2 linked regions of the Tribolium castaneum genome follow. The protein of the gene in region 1 purifies or fractionates together with the protein of each later gene. This does not show direct contact. Links are inferred from orthologs where the notes say so. Each region holds a gene or a part of one and is shown in the gene's direction. Other genes may lie near its edges.

Region 1 (3,478 bases):
CCGTTGAAGAACTTAGGTGTAAAGATTTTTATAAACTGTCTATTGTGAAACCAACTTGATTTTAATAAAAACTTATTATTCTTATGTTATGGTTTTTATTTACCTTTTTGTGTTTTTTTTATCAATTTAGCTTTATTTACACATTACTAAAAAAAACAGATTTTTGTTTGAAAAAATCTTATAAAATTTAGCATAAAATAGGAGTAAAGCCACAAGTCATTATTACATTACATTACATTACATTAATTACAAATCCAGTCAATAGGAGAAATTTATCGTTCGAAAACTACCGACAAAACAAAAATGGTGGATGCGCCGGGGAAAATATTTTCTGTAAAAAAATATAAATCACTGATTGATATAAAAAAAATTTGAATTTTACTTTAACTTGTACAAAAACTACCGACAAACAAGATGCAGTTAAATTAGGTTTAAAAATATTTAAAAAAATGGTAAATGTGCCGGGAAAAATATAATCAGTAAAAAATTAATAAATCACTGATTGATATAAAAATGTTTGAATTTTATTTGAACTTGTACGAAAACTACCGACAAATAAGATGCAGTTGAATTAATTAGTGTCGAAAATATTTTACAAAAAGAGTGGATGAGCCGAAAAAAAAATTGCTGTAAAAATATTATATATTATTGATTGATATAAAAAATGTCTGAAATTTTCTTTAACGTGTACAAAAACTATCGATAAACAAGATGAAGTTAAATTAGGATTCAAAATATTTTACAAAAATGGTGGATGCGCCTTGGAAAATATTTATATCTGAAATTTACTTTAACTTTTACGAAAACTACCGACAAATAAGATGCAGTTAAATTAGGTTTAAAAATATTTGACAAAAATGGTGGATGCGCCGGGGAAAATATTTTCTGTAAAAAATTAATAAATCTCTGAGTGATATCAAAAATGCTTGAATTTTATTTTAACTTCTATGAAAACTACCTTCAAATAAGATGTAGTTAAATTAATGAGGATTGAAAATATTTTACAAAAAGAGTGGATGAGCCGAAAAAAAAAGTGCTGTAAAAAAATTATATATCATTAATTGATATAAAAAATGTCTGAAAATTTCTTTAACTTGTACGAAAACTAGCGATAAACAAGATGCAGTTAAATTAGGATTATAAATATTTTAGAAAAATAATGGATGCGCCAGGAAAAATATTTTTTGTAAAAAATTTATATATTACTGATTAATATAAAAAAATGTTTGAATTTTACCTTAACTTGTACAAAAACTACCGATAAACAAGATCAGTTAAATTAGGATTGAAAATATTTTACAAAAATGGTGGATGCGCCGGGAAAAATATTTTTTGTACAAAAATTAAAATTATTTATTTATCTATCCTGTTCAAAAATATAAAAAAACAGAATTAAATAAAACAACAATTAATTGAAAATGATTGATATAAAAAATGATGCAGTTAAATTGGGATTATTTTTTTACAAAATTGGTGGATGCGTCGAGGAAAATATTTTCTGTAAAAAATTTAGAAATTACTGATTGATATAAAAAATGTTTGAAATTTACTTTAACTTGTTCGAAAACTATCGATAACTAAGATGCAACTAAATTAGGATTAAAAAATGTTTTAAAAATGGTGGATGCGCCGGGGAAAATATTGTTTGTAAAATAGTTATAAATCACTGATTGATATAAAAAATGTTTGAAATTTACTTTAACCACCAACAAACAAGATGCAGTTAAATTAGAATTAAAAATATTTTACAAAGATGGTAGATGTGCCGGGAAATATATTTTCCATAAAAAATTCTAAATCACTGATTGATATACAATTTATTTTTCAAAAATGGTGGACCGAAAGTTTCAACACAAGACTTAAAAAACAATGATTTATCATTATCCGTTCGAAATGACTTTTTTATTGTAGAAAATCATTCGATTGAAACTGAAGAATGGATCGTTTTTTTGCAAAAATCAATGGAGGAAGTTATCGGAGGTGAACTCACTTCGTTGACACAAACATACCTGACTAACATAATTGTGTCACCGTTACGTAACACTAATACAAGTCCAAAAGTGTTGATTTATGTCGCTAAGCTTTTATCGTTACCTTTCGCTCTTCGAGGAATTTCACACGAGATCAAGGAACAAATCAAAAAAGTGTTCGTCTTAGTGAAGTTGGTTCCAAATTTGATTTACTCCTTCAAAAAAATAATGAAAGTCTTGAAAAGTTCCAGTGATGAAACGACTTACAAGAATATAGCTGATTTAACAGAGGAAGATTTTGAAGCACTTGAATGTGTCTATATGTTGATTACACATTTGGTGCATTTGGATAACGAGTTTTTGAGTCAATTGTGTGATTCCATCGCTGTTTTGAATGTGTATGCGATTTTGAAATCGTTTCTTTTGATTTGCAAAAGTCGATTACAACTGGTTATGGATTTGTTGGCGATTTTGACGCATGTTTTGCGCGTTTTTCCCGAACATTTTGAACTAGTCGATCGAATTGTTTTGAATGAAGGGAAAAGTGTTAATTTTGTGGAATTATTGCGACATAATAATCCCCTGATGCAAGAACGGACGTGTTTTTTTCTTTTGTTTTTAGGCAAACATTTGCCAGCCAATAAGGTGGAAGTTTTTTGGAATGAAACTGTGAGAGAGACTTTGGAAGCTCTAATGTATGATTCGATTGGAAGTGTTAGGAATGTAAGTTTTGTTTGAATGCAGAATTTGCATTTTAATTGTCTTTATTCTAGGCTGCTGATCGCACCGTTAAAGAACTTAGGTGTAAAGATTTTTATAAACTGTCTATTGTGAAACCAACTTGATTTTAATAAAAACTTATTATTTTTATGTTATGGTTTTTTATTTACCTTTTTGTGTTTTTTTATCAATGTAGCTTTATTTACACATTACTAAAAAAAACAGATTTTTGTTTGAAAAAATCTTATAAAATTTGGCATAAAATAGGAGTAAAGTCACAAGTTATTATTTTTTTAATTACAAATCCATTCAACAGGAGAAATTTATTGTTCGAAAACTACCGACAAAGAAGATGCAGCTAAATTAGGAATAAAAATATTTTACAAAAATGGTGGAGGCGCCGGGGAAAATATTTTTTGTAAAAAATGTATAAATTGCTGATTGATATAAAAAAATGTTTGAAATTTACTTTAACTTGTACGAAAACTACCGACAAACAAGATGCAGGTAAAATAGGATTAAAAATATTTTACAAAAATGGTGGTTGCGCCGTGGAAAATATTTTCTGTAGAAAATGATAAATCTTTGATGGATAGAAAAAATATATGAATTTTATTTTAACTTGTACGAAACCTACCTGCTGTTAAATTAAGATTAAAAATATTTTACAAAAATGGTGGTTGCGCCGGTGAAAATTTTTTTTGGAGAAAATGTATAAATTGCTGATTGATATGAAAAAATATTTGAAATTTACTTTTACATATTCGAAAACTACCGACAAATAAGAT
Region 2 (4,425 bases), on another chromosome or scaffold:
TTTATTCGTTAGAGGGGTATGTATTTTAGCTTTTTATCAAATTTATTTAAAAAAATAAAATAATAATTTGTTAACAAACGTTGGTGTTTATATAGTTTTGAAACATCTAACATGTACATACAAGCAAGTAGAAATGAACCCGTACCTTCTGCTAAGCAATAAGCTGAAGATAGAGGAGTTTTCTGGATTTTCGAAGAAAGTTTGTAATTATGAATTACCTATAATTAAGCCGATTTTGGAAATTAGTATAGTAAATTTCTAACATTCAGATTGCTTTTGGTTTTTGAATATGAAAGCAAATTCTTTAGTAGTGTCTCACAAAACGACAATCGCAGGTTGCAGCAAAAAATTATTTTCTTGCAATACATTTAATTTTTTCTATTTTTTGAAAATGTACAATAATTATTTAGTTACAATTTGCATTTCTAACCCAAATTAACAAAGTTCAACGACAAAAAGAATAAAACTCATTTTCTAAATTAATTTCAATTTGCTTCAATGAGGTCCTTTTTTTCTACAAACTAATTTTAACAGATAGGAGACAAAGTTTTATTCTAGAAAACTTAGAAAAATATGTTACAATATACAATTACAACGCTAATAGTTAATAAATAAAAAATTATGTAACAGAATTGTGACAAAAAAATGTGTGTAACTGCAAAAAATACAGATATGTTGTATATAACTTATTGGAGATTTGTACTTATTATTTTTATGGCTTTTGTAATTAAAAATTATGTATAATGTAAGAAAGACTTACTTTTTTTTTAAATTGTATGACAGCAATATAGCATATTTATGGTGCATATTTTAGGTTTTTTTTAATGCATATTTTCCGAACCCTAGTTATTAAGAATTAGATCTCTTATTGCAACTATTCATTATTTTAGCTATTAATTTTTTCAAATTTTGAAAAATACATCGCAATTAATCTTGTAGAAATCAAAAAAATATTTCAAAAAATACAGTATTGATTAAATTATAGTAAAACATCCTGAAACTAAAATGAGACGTTTGCGTTACGGTTTAATTAATGTACTCTCAGTTTTATTAAGGACAAACTTTCCAAACAGCAATCTTTTTTTAATATTCTTTGATATTTTGAACTGTGGACGCAACCAATTATACACATTTCTAATATTTAAAAAATTAAAAAAAATTAATTAAGAGTTTTGAATATTGAGTACCTATGTGATTAGTAATGAATGTTGATGAATTTTGCACATATTACGTTTAGAATTCGTCGTAATAGTATTAATTTATGAATAAAATTAATAATGTATTGTTACGAATTATTTTTCAAGTAGGCACTGTCACAGTCGTGTCACATTTGACAGTTCATTGACACTGACAAGTGTTACCTAACCTGTTTTACGATGATTAAAATAAAAATGTTTAAACTTGATTTAAATCTCGCGCATTGCTTGTATTTCGCTTGTTGTCCGCTTTCCCCAAGCATTACCATCCGTTCGGTGGCGTCCTCTCTTATCTCCCCATTAAACCGTGTAATTGACTTGCGAGCGAGTGTCTTCGCTTCAATCCCCAAATGAAGTGAAAATCTGGGCACTTGGTAGCCATTTTATCGTTAGCTCGTTGGTTTTTCGGCGTGTATTTTGAATTTGTGTTGCCCGTTTTAATCAGTGTCTGTGCCTCAATCGTGCGAGATAAACTCAATAATGCGTGTGTACGGATCGTTGTGTTGACACAAACCAAACGCGACATCCGCTCCGAGCTCATCCTTGGTGCTTCAGGCGGTGTTAGAAATCAATCGAAGCCCTGGAAGGTGTCCAAGTCCAAACCATGGGCAACAATGCCGCAACGGCGAACAAAAAGGTCGACTCCGCCGAAAGCGTGAAGGAGTTCCTCGACCAGGCCAAGGAGGACTTCGAGGAGAAGTGGAAGAAGAATCCGACAAACACCGCCTGTTTGGACGACTTCGAGCGCATTAAAACCCTAGGTACGGGTTCATTCGGACGTGTAATGATCGTCCAACACAAACCCACGAAAGAGTACTATGCGATGAAAATCCTCGATAAGCAAAAGGTGGTCAAGTTGAAGCAGGTGGAGCACACCCTCAACGAGAAGCGCATCCTGCAGGCGATCAGTTTCCCGTTCCTAGTCAGTCTGCGGTTTCACTTCAAAGACAATTCGAACTTGTACATGGTGTTGGAGTATGTGCCTGGAGGAGAGATGTTTTCGCATTTGAGGAAAGTCGGACGCTTCTCTGAGCCACATTCGAGGTTTTATGCTGCCCAAATTGTGCTCGCTTTCGAATACTTGCACTATCTAGATCTGATCTACAGGGATCTGAAACCGGAGAATCTTCTCATCGACTCGCAGGGGTAAATAAACAAATGATAGTTATTTATTTTGAGTGGAAATCGGACGCTTTATTTGACGAGTGAAAAAATTCTAACACAAGTCTACATGTGGGGAAGGTCAAGCTCTTTAGGCCCTTTGGTGTTCTGAAATTGTTTCTTATGCCATGAGATCGAAAATTTACTGAATTAAAGCAAGCCAAGGGAAGTGCATTTTTAGCCACACTTCTTTTCAAAACATCGTGTTGCAAAAGACAGTAGATAAGATTAAGAAGATGTCCAGAAATACTGTTTTTATGTTAGCAAATAACCGAAATTCTGCCAATTGAAGATTTCTGTCAGTCTCTTTTTTTTCACTTGTTATTAAAATAGCATTCTACGATGTAGGCTTTTAAACACCATTTTGGTATAATTTAGATGAAGCAAGGAATCAGTTTTTGAAAAATCATAGTCTCTCATTTTTTGACATTTGGCTAAAATTCCGCAGCATGACCTGCTCTAATTCAGTTTATTTTCGATCTCATTGAATTTATGATTAGAGTAGGCTTTGAAAACGCTGATTATCATAATTAATCAAGCTGAAAGTCAAATAATAAAATTTCGAATAGTAATATTCAATTGGAATACATTTTTTCTTTCATGTTGCACTAATTTATTAATTACAAAGATAAAAACCGCCTAATCTAACTATAAATTGAAATGATCGCATGTACAATCATATCGTCGTTTTTGTTTATAATCAACTATCTAAGAACCGTCAGGTTGGCATTATCATAAATAGAGTAATTTTTTTGAATTAAGGTTGGTGTAATTTTTTACCTGGCACATTCAATTTCCAAATTTTTCAAATTGTCTCCAATTTAAAACGCGTACAACAACACATTTAGTTATTTTAGACCACTTTTAGACTAACGAATTAACGATTAACACTAACATCTAATTTTCAAAAATGCCAAATCTGGTGTTCAAAATGTCAAATACAGAATACAGCCAGTTTCAAAAGTGGGTGGACATGAACTTTTAGGATGAAATAGTCTGGTCTTTATCAGAATTTTGACACTGACAAGTGATTATATAAAAAAAAACTATATTTCAGAAAACTACTTTGGGCCGGTTTATAGAAAGCTTTAATTTAATTCGTTTTTAAAAGTTAACAACGCGAATAGACCAATCAAATTTGTTCAATTTGGTCACGTGATGCATTTAATTGCAGATTAACTTAATGACGCTTCTATAAAATATAAAGTTAAGTTGAATTTAATATAAAGTTAAGAAGGTACTGGCAATACCAAAATTCTAAGTAAATAAATAAAATAGTTATGTGTTAGTTAATAAATGTATGGTGTGGACCTGACGGGTTCAGAGCCTCTAACAATATTGGATTTGGTATTTTCTTCATTCTTCACATTCAGGCTGTTCCAACGAGCCGAAAATAGTCCATAACTTGTATTATTGACTTTTTCCTTAGATATATACAGAGTGTCTCAGCTAAGACTTTCGAGCTTAATATATCAGTTATTTGTCAACAGATTTTTATGAAATTTAGAATGCACATATTTTAGGAGGTGTTTTTTCCATTAGGGGCAAAAAATGACATAAGTTAAGAAATGTAATTTTAAAACACATTTCTTTTATTTAAAATTAAGCTGAATTAGTATTGGATTATTAAACCCCGAAAAATAGATGGCTCCACAAAAAATTAACCAAATCGCTCGGTTGATCCAAGAAAAAAAAATTGATTTTGTTGTTAAAAACTAAATCCAAATTTTCAAAATATTTGAATAATCATGCGGCATTTTGTGTCCCACTGTATCAAAAGTGTGTGTGCTGTCAAAAAAGTAAAATTGTTTTAATTTGGTGAAATTACTTTAAAAACAAACAACACTGGCAGAAATTTCTGTGTTGTTGTAAAAGGAAACAATATTCGCCTATGGAAAGTGTCTTTGGACTTTTTGTGAAATGTTATTTATGAAATTTAAAGTTCAAAGAATCGTCAACAATTTGAAGACACAGGAAGCGTACCTGAACTAAATCGAGTGAGAACAAAACACGTCACTGTAAATGAAGAAATACTTGGGGCTGTAATTCAAACTTTTGAAGAGAATCC

Evidence for each region.
Region 2: the proteins of fu (region 1) and cAMP-dependent protein kinase catalytic subunit 1 purify together in Drosophila melanogaster (affinity purification with western blotting; 3 studies listed by BioGRID, with this or other methods). This does not show direct contact. The link is inferred for Tribolium castaneum from reciprocal best matches to the Drosophila melanogaster genes fu and Pka-C1.

Annotation. Positions count from the first base shown.
Region 1 is NC_087395.1:1,143,228-1,146,705, reverse strand, and holds the end of fu (serine/threonine-protein kinase fused), read left to right. Parts: exon of another isoform or gene 1-84; intron 85-1,857; coding exon 1,858-2,693; intron 2,694-2,743; coding exon 2,744-2,815; 3' UTR 2,816-2,840; downstream 2,841-3,478. UniProt on the Drosophila melanogaster protein: Probable serine/threonine-protein kinase; maternally required for correct patterning in the posterior part of each embryonic metamere. May be involved in control of cell division during metamorphosis and ovarian development. May interact with costal-2.
Region 2 is NC_087397.1:21,579,070-21,583,494, forward strand, and holds the start of cAMP-dependent protein kinase catalytic subunit 1, read left to right. Parts: upstream 1-1,471; 5' UTR 1,472-1,800; coding exon 1,801-2,342; intron 2,343-4,425. UniProt on the Drosophila melanogaster protein: Serine/threonine-protein kinase involved in memory formation. Promotes long-term memory by phosphorylating meng and by regulating CrebB protein stability and activity.